Linked DNA regions of Cricetulus griseus. The protein of the gene in region 1 interacts with the protein of each later gene in a pairwise test. Links are inferred from orthologs where the notes say so. Each region holds a gene or a part of one and is shown on either strand. Other genes may lie near its edges. The genes, in order: Syt6 and Zbtb43.

Region 1 (4,349 bases):
CCTGTGATGAGGCTGGTGCAGAAGGTGCACGATGGGGATCGCCTGGAGTTGGCGCTCCGAATCTCCTCCCTCCGGAACCTGAGTCACAGCCTAAGCCACTTCCAATTAGCGTGTTAATTCGGAGGAAAGACCCTCCTCCCCGACCACTCTCCGTTGCACACTAGCCCCGTAGTTGAAGGTGCAGGAGGAGCTCCAGCTAAAGTTTCTTTCCAAGATGCCACCTCGGGAAGGTGACACATTGGTGATAGGTGAAGGACAGGAATCCACCGTGATAGAACCTTACCGGGCTCGGTCCCCTGGCAGTTAGCAATGGCTCGCAGATTTCCAGGGTTAAGTGAAGCATCCCAACCATCCTGATTCTGAGTCTCACTTCACGGTTCCCGAGGGGAGCTCCTTTTACAGTCTAGCCTTCTATTTAGTTTTCTGTCTTTCTGGCCCTTTTTATGTATGCTTCATAGACAAATATATTATTTCTGGTGGCTTTGGTCTGATGCGTGGAGGTGGGTCTGGTGGGAACCGAACCCCTTCCTGAAATGCTCCCCATTTCTATTCACCAGAAACTTTCTCCTCCCGTTGCCATGGAGAGAGACGGCCGCTGCCTCCGTCTCCATAGCAACGTGCCGGTGCCTCGGACCACAAGACTGTGGGGCTCAGAAAGTCTTTGCAGTTCCCCTCGCTCCGCAGTCTTGGGGTCTTTTATCTCCCAAGCTGAGACTTGGCAAGTCTGGCTAACTTCTCCTATCAACAACCTTGGCAGGGTTCTCCCGCCGTACAGTCTGGCCATCCCTTTTTATGTTGTGTTATTGCGATGCCCACTTGTGTGACATGTGGCAATTTCCCCAACGTTTTCACAAGTACTACCTTTATTCCCAGGGAACTCATGAAGTACCAGTAATCATTACACCTCTTTTACGAAAAGGAAAACTGAGTCCCGGAAAGGCCCAAGGTCACCTCCGCGGTGCTTGCTCGGCTGGCCTTGAATCCTGCACTGTGTGGGACAGCGGGGTTGGAACCTTCCCGGACTCGGGCAGGTCCCTGCGTGTGGAGGGGGCGGTCGAGAGGCGCCAGACTTGCCAGCTGCCGCGGGATGCCACGTGAGGGGCGGGGACCCTGCAGGGAAGTGATTAAAAGCAGAGCCGAACCGCAGGGGGCCGCTGCGGGGAGGGTCTTCTTGGGGCCGCCTTGCCCCGCCCCAGTCCGGCCGTGGTGTGGGGTGCGAGCCACTGCTCCTCAGACCTGAGTGTACGGGGCATGAGCGGGGTTTGGGGGGCCGGAGGGCCTCGGTGCCAGGCGGCGCTCGCGGTCCTGGCCTCTCTGTGCCGGGCCCGGCCGCCCCCTCTCGGGCTGGACGTGGAGACTTGTCGGAGCTTCGAGCTGCAGCCCCCGGAGCAGAGTCCGAGCGCGGCTGACTCAGGTACCAGGAGACCCAGAGCCCCCTCCATTCCTGGATTTTCACACCGGTGGCCTCCCCTTCCCAAGGCACCGGCCCAAGAGCCCCAGAACCTCAGAAGTCTAGCTTGGGGTACCGGCCTGGGCCAGTCCGATGGCTCGCCGCCCACAGCAAGAGATCCGAAGGGGACCCCGGAGAAGAACCCCTTCTCCCCATCACTAATGCGAGAGCTCCGAGATGCGGCACCCATGCGTCCTCAGTTTCCCTTGTGTCTCTAGGCTCATCCTAGGGCCGATCGGCCAGAGCCGTGGAGAGGGAGACATCCTGGGTGCGGAGGAAAGCCCGAGTCCTCCGGGGGTTCCAAAGTCCAGGGCCCCTCAGTGACTGGGTGAAGGCGGGTCGAGCCCCTAGGCTTGGGAAAAACTTGCGTCTGCAGCTGGCACGCGGTCTTTGTGTCCAGGTCTCTCAGCAGCGAGTGGCTGTCTGCGTCTCGCCGGGGGGCTGGGGCGGGGTGGCGTGGCGTACTCCCCACCCCCCGGCACCCCTATAACTCGCTCTCTCGGTCTCTGACTCACTTGGACTCCGGGCGGGTGCGCAACTGAGCCGGTGCCTCTCGCCGACTTTGCCAGGCGGGAACCTCCTGCCCGGGAGGTGCGGACCTTGCGCCGGACGCAGCCCCGGCAGCCGCCGAGTCTAGGCGGCAGCCTGAGCCAAGTCCAGCTCACCGGAGCTGGTGAGTCCCGAGCCCGAGCCCACTGGGGAGGGTCCCGCGTGCAGCCGCGACGTCTCGCGGGAGTCGCGACAACAGGGGTGGCGTGTCGCGCCCTGGCGGCGGGAGCCGCGGGAGTGTCCGCGGCGTGGCAGCCGACCGGCCCGGGTATGTACCTGCTGCACCAGTCTTTGCCGCCAAGCAGCTCTCCCGCTGCAGCGGGATCCTTTGTCCCGCAATTAGGAGGGTCCAGGACAGAGCGAGTATGGGTCGTGTACCTTCCGAGCAAAGGGCCCGGGGCAGCGCGAGGCCCGGAGTGAATGCGGCGTGGGGGTGGGGAAATCCTGCAGAGACTGAGGCGCTGGAGTTCCTTGGGGCTCCGCAGACTCACTGAACCTTGTTCTCGACCGAGACCCGGACTCGGACCCTAGTGGCTCTGGGCCTAGGCTTAAGTGGGAGGTCGCTTCGTGGTTCCATATGGCTGGCGCCGGAAAGAGGAGAGGGGAATGCTAGAGGCAAGAAGATGGTCTCCACTTGTCTCCAGGGACAAGTGGCCAGGGACCACAGGAGAGGTTCTGGGAGCAGGTGCAGGCTGGGTAAGCTCCCCAGTGACCTCAGACTCCAGACCCCTGTTTCCATTTGAGGTTAAAGGTCAAAGATAGATGTAGACTCTAGGTTAGGAATAGAGCCTTCAAGGGAGGGGTAGAGAGGCCGGGGAAGACTGTGTGTACCCTCTAGGAGGCTGCTTGAAATCCAGCCTTGTGTGAGTGGAGCCCACCTCACATCTGTGAGTCATTAGGGGTGCTGCTTTTCTCTCTGGCCTTCTCTGGCACTATTTAATCAATGAGTTGATGACTGCAGCAGAAAAGACCAAGACTTAAGGAACTTTTGCAAGTAGGACCGTGATTAAAGTTGGCTCTCCCTCTTTGGTATTCTCAGAACAGATTAGACTGTCATTGGACACCGTTTCTCTGGTGACATCTCCTTCTCCCCCCCACCCCCCAACTCCATACACTTCCAAGACAAAAATTTCCTCAAGTCAGTCTCTTCCTATCTCCCTCCTTTCCTTTAGCTCCCTCCCATCTTTTCCTCAAGCGCTCCATCTGCAGTGGAGTCTTCCCTCTGGGCTTGATACCTCAGAGAATGGAGGGCCAGAACACATCCACAGAGTTCTGCACTACTACTTGTCCACCGCAAAGATGCTGGGGGTGGGGGTTGTTGTGTGTACCTTTGGGGGAGACACTGGTATTGATGCTGGGGGCATTGGAGGTTGTTGTGTGTACATATTGGGAGAGACACTGATATTCTGATTCCCAAAAGATTCCTTGAATCTGAATTTCCAAGCTGAGATGAGTGAAGCCTGGGCAAGAGACAGGGTACCACATGAATCAGTACCCTGGCCTAATGTGAATTTGAGTTGTATAAACTGCCCTGACCCCAAGGAGCCTTAACTTGATTAATGTGTCTGTCACAAGCCCCAAGAAATCCTGAGGCCAAGTTAGGACAAGAGATGCAGGCAGACAGGGAGCTGGATCACACCACGAGAAAGTGGCTCAGCTGGCTCCAGGACCTTGGGGATTTAGGTGAGCAGTAGGTCTACAGAGATGCAGTGTTCAGGCCAGGGTGCCAGACCTTCCAGGTCCCAGCCTTCACTTTGTTCTCTATCTAGGATCTGATTCTCCAACCAAAGCAATGCTAGATTTTTCCCCAGTTTTATGGGGAAAAAAATGCAAGTGGGCAGAGTATGCTCGGCTTCCTTCCCCATCTTACCTTTTCCCCTGCCTTCTGCCAGTTCTGAAGTGTCTAACTCCCAGGATTCCCTGAGCTTCACCAGTTGAGACTCAGAGTCCACTGCCATTTGCACAGACCTTCCCATAGGCCAGGGTCTGGGCAAGGAATTGCATCAGAAATCTCGATGAATCAGACCCTGACTTGGAAAGATCTATACTGAAACTTCTCAACTAAAAGCAAACTCCCCACTTTCTCTAAAAACCCTAAGGATCACCAGTCTGCTTTCTTTCTTAATATACTCCTTATATGCCCCCTACACTCAAATAGTCACCAGCAGGCCTTTCCTTTGGTCATTTTCCTTAAAGAGGTGAATGAACTTTATACATAGCCCAGTTACAGAGGGAAAAGTGTGCAGCAGAAATCTAAGAGTGTTCTAGAATATGCAGGAACCTGAAAGCTGGCCTAAGCTGTCTGGTGCTGCAGGCTAGCAGCCAGGAGCGGTTGTTCCCAGCCTACCTA
Region 2 (4,536 bases), on another chromosome or scaffold:
CTGCAGGCTGGAAGAGGGCGCCAGATCTCATTACAGATGGCTGTGAGCCACCATGTGGTTCTGGGAATTGAACTCAGGACCTCTGGAAGAGCAGCCAGTGCTCTTAACCTCTGAGCCATCTCTCCAGCCCGCATGTGTATTTGTATATGTGCTCATGTATATGTGGGTATATGGGTGGTTGTGGAAGCCAAAGGTCAAAGGACAACCTGATTGTCATTCTCAGGAATGCCATCCACTCTTTTTTTTTTTTTTCCTTTACTTTGTTTTTCCTTTTGTTTTTTCAAGACAGGGTTTCTCTGTGTAGCCCTGGCTGTCCTGGAACTCACTCTGTAGACCAGACTGGCCTTGAACTCACAGAGATCCACCTGCCTCTGCCTCCCAAGAGTTGGGATTAAAGGTGTGGGCCACCACTGCCTGGCCTCCATCCACTTTTAGGCAACCTCTCTCACTGCTCTCAAAGACACTGATCCCTTCCTCCGCAGCACTAGGATTGTAATCCTGCCACCACACCTGCTGTTTTTAGTTTCTGGAGACTAAACTCTGGTCCTCATGTTTGCAGTGCTTTGCAAAGATTTTACCCACTGAGCTATTCCCTCAATCCCCACACTTTTCCCCCCTAGCAAGATGTTCTGCACCTGTCCCCAGTTCTGTGCTTCAAGAATTTGTTTTGTTTTGTTTTATGGTTTTGTTTCTCGGAATTTCTTTTTTAAATTGTCTTGTTTGTATTATTGTTTTGCCTGCATACTTGTCTGTGCACTGTTTGCCTGCCTGGTGCCAGTGCCAGCAGAGGGCGAAAGATGCCCTGGAACTGGAGTTACTGAGGCTGAGAGCCACCGCGTGGGCGCTGGACACTGAAACCAGGTCCTTAGGAAGAGAAGCCATGCTCTTAACTGCTGAGCATCTCTCCAGCCCTCCCCAGAATCTCTGTGTATAATTTTCTCGCAAAGTCCCAGCCTTCTTTCTGAATATTCTTAGGTCCCAGAGCCGAAATAGATGCAGAGCTGGGAAGCCCTAAATTCGGACCCAAGACACAGGAATGTCTAGTCCAGCACGAATATGGGGACATAGCCTTGCAATCCCAATACTGAGGAGGTGTGGGCAGGAGTGAATTTGAGGCCAACTCGACCTACATAATGAGTTCAAAGCCAACCTGAAACTTTTATTTTATTTTATTTTTTGTAGGGGTGAGTGGAGTGAGCTCTCACTTGTCACCGTGTGTGCTCCAAGCATAGAGCCCAGGCCATTAGGCCTGGCGGCAAGCGCCTTTACCCGCTCAGCTAGCTCGCAGTTCCTAAGAGCTTCGAACTCGAAATCAGTTAACTCTTATGCCTGCCTCCCGAAACGTGACCAGCGGGACGTCCTATTGCGCAGGCCCCGGCCGCCCCCTGAAGACCCTCCCAGAAAGGGCTCCTAGAGCATGCGCACACCTCAGCGTCGCGGACGCGCCTCCGGAAGCACTGGCAGTTTCGGGGGCGGGACCGGGAAGCGTTTCCGGGGGGGCGGGAGGCTCCGGCGGAAGCTGTCCCCGTGGTGGCGGCGGAGAATAAGGCCTTAGTGCGGGCGACTGGATGCTCCGGTAGGCTGAAGCTGCGAGCGCGGAGCCGTCGGCAGGTACGGCGGGGTGGGGAGGCTGGCGGCCGCGCGAGAGGTCACGGTCGGGGTCACGAGCGTCCGGGACGCGGGTGCTCATCCAGAGCCCTCCCCGGTGGCCGCGACGCGGGACGGCGCCAGCGACTCCGCAGCCCCCGGCGCCCCGGCTCGGAGTCCCGAGGCCTCCAGCGCCACCGGGAGACTTCCTGTCCAAGGTCACCCCGCGGCAGGTGCACGGCGGGCCGGGGCGCCTGGAGGATCCGCCCGCGCCGCGACCTCAGGGTCGAGCCACCCACGCGGGAGCCAAAGCCGGGAGGGGGGACCTCGCCGCTCCGAGTTTCGCCTCTTTGTCACCCCGTCGTCACTTGTTTTTGTCCCCAGACTGGGCTCTGGTCAGCTGGAGTTTCTCTCCACCTTGTGTCCCTGGAGCTCACAGTCTGGGGACCTTGTCTTTAATCTCTGTTTCTTGACTCTGCTCTGGTTCGGGGCCCGAATGTCACACTGGCTTCTTGACCATTTGTGTGTTTTTCCCCCTCTGCCAATGTTGTGTTCTTGTTTCTCTCCCTCCCAACTGGGTTTGTTTAGGCAGGGCGGGCCCTGCCTGGACCTCTGAGCCATGGAAGGTGACTCATGACCCCGTGAAACTCGCCCGCCTGGGCGACATTCTCAGTGGCCCGACCGCAGTCTGGCCTCGGTTCTGACCGGTGTCACCCAACCTCACAAAGTGTTGGGAGCTCCTGGCCCTCACACTGAAGGCCCATCTCACGGTTTAGGCAGCTAGTGAATCCTGAACTTCTCTTCCATGTGGTCTACACAGCTCTCCAGTTATTTGCTCTTTCCAGGAGCCCCAGGGCTGTCAGGCACTGCCTCTGTTTAACCAGGTCAGCATGTCTACAGGCTCAGGAAGGACCAGGTTGACATCTGCCCTTGAGATCCTTAGCACTGTAGCAGAATTTTTAGGGGCAGCTTAGGGAAGAATTTAGGAATTCGTTCCCTGCATGTTTCCAAAGTACCGTGAGAAAGAAGTGAGACACGGGACAAATACTATTTAAAACTTTTGGAATCGAGTGTCAGTAATAGACAGGACAGAAAACAATTTATGAGGTGCTAGAGTCAGATACTGTGTTCAATGTGCACAGAGTTTAGGAGACAGTAAGAACATTCTAGAAATGGATTGGGCACAACAGTGTGAATGATGTAATGTCAACATAGCATTACACTAAGTAGTTACAGTGGTAAGTTTTGTGCTGTGTTTATACTGTATACACACAGCAGAAGGAACTCTGGAGACTTCCGAAGCTGGTATAAGCACGTCCACAGTGCACTTTAGAAACTTGGTTTGGAACATTTAGTTGAATCCCTTATATTGATGCAAGCTCTTAATAGCAGCAGGTTCAGTTGAAGGCTTACAAAAGGAGTCAGGGGACCCTGATGGCTTTAAATCGGATGACAGCAGTTTCCCACCTGTCTTCCCCTCCTTGCCCCTTTGGAATCAATGCAGAAATTTACCCTAGTGGCAACTTGAGAAATGTATTGCCTTTGACATGCAGAGAACTTGTGAAGCTGGAAAAATTCCCCTTTATTAGAGTAGAAAATGCTCTTGTTATTTCTTCACAGACTATGCCTTTGGTTTTTTGTCTGTTTTCTGTTTTATAAATCTTGCCTTCTTTACATTCATTTTTCAAGGTTTTATTTGGGGGGGAGGGGGGTTGTGTTGTTTAGATTTTTTCTTTGTTTTGTTTTGTTGCCTTTTATCTCTGAGTTCCCAGGCCAGCCTGGTCTACAGGCATTCCAGAACAGCCAGGGCTACACAGAGAAACCTTATCTCAAAACAAACTTGGGAGATATATACTGTCTGAATCCTGGAGTAGCCTGAAACTCCCAGTGTGATGACCTTGAACTGATGATCCTCCTACTCCCACCACCCAAGAATTAGATTCCTGTGTGGGCTGCTTATCTGACCAATTAGGTCACCAGAACCCTCAGAATGGGTTTCAAGATCTTACAGATTTAGACATGCTGCCTGAGTTTTCTTTCCCAGCAGAACTCCCTTCCAGAGTGGCACATGTCACTAATAGTAAACCGAGGAAAGTAAGCCTCCTTAGACTCAGCTTCTTTTTAAAGGCAGTAGAGCCTGACCTGAGCCTGGAAAATCAGAAAAATTCCTCAGTGGAAAAGATGGAGAGAAAGCAGTAACAAGGGGGAGGGAACCCAGAGAGAAACCCATTTATGTGGCTCCTTCGCCTTTCTACACCATTGTGAAAGGTTTGAAGGTCAAGGAGGGCCCTGGGACAGATTATTCCTTGGGATAATAAATGTTCTAGAAGAATGATTGTGACGAAATGAGGGCCCCTATGTGTTTTAGAGGGAAGGAGATTGAGATGGTTCTCTTTGGCTCTACAGTTGGTAGTTGCTGGTGGTAATGAATGAGTGGTCAGTCAGTTATCACTAAGACTGTTAGATGATCAATAAGCATCTGTCCCGATGGCCATTCCTGGGGGTTGACCAGGCAGGAAGGCAAGAATCTATAGAAACGGGGCTGGAGAGATGGCTCAGTGGTTAAGATCACTGGCTGCTCTTTCAGAGGACCTGGGTTCAATTCCCAGCACCCACATGGCAGCTCACAACTGTCTGTTACTTCAGTTTCAGGGGATCTGACACCTTCACACCAATACACATAAAATAAAGTTAAATAAATTATTTTAAAAAAAAAGAATCTATAGAAGCATCATTTTAGGCTGGTGGTGGCACACACCTTTAATCCCAGCTCTTGGGAGGCAGAGGCAGGCAGATCTCTGTGAGTTCGAAGCCAGCCTGGTCTATGAGAGCTAGTTCCAGGATAGATTCCAAAGCTACACAGAGAAACCCTGTCTCAAAAAAACCAAAGAAGAAAATAACTTAATTTTAGTTCATGAGACAAAAGTATAGTTGTTACAGGCATTGTCA

What was found.
Region 2: the proteins of Syt6 (region 1) and Zbtb43 interact in binary tests that used the Homo sapiens proteins (3 or more experiments, as listed by UniProt). The two-hybrid records come from large-scale screens. The link is inferred for Cricetulus griseus from reciprocal best matches to the Homo sapiens genes SYT6 and ZBTB43.

What each region holds. Positions count from the first base shown.
Region 1 is NW_023276806.1:53,374,063-53,378,411, reverse strand, and holds the start of Syt6 (synaptotagmin-6), read left to right. Parts: upstream 1-1,251; coding exon 1,252-1,414; intron 1,415-4,349.
Region 2 is NC_048599.1:145,183,734-145,188,269, reverse strand, and holds the start of Zbtb43 (zinc finger and BTB domain-containing protein 43), read left to right. Parts: upstream 1-1,471; 5' UTR 1,472-1,611; intron 1,612-4,536. UniProt on the Homo sapiens protein: May be involved in transcriptional regulation.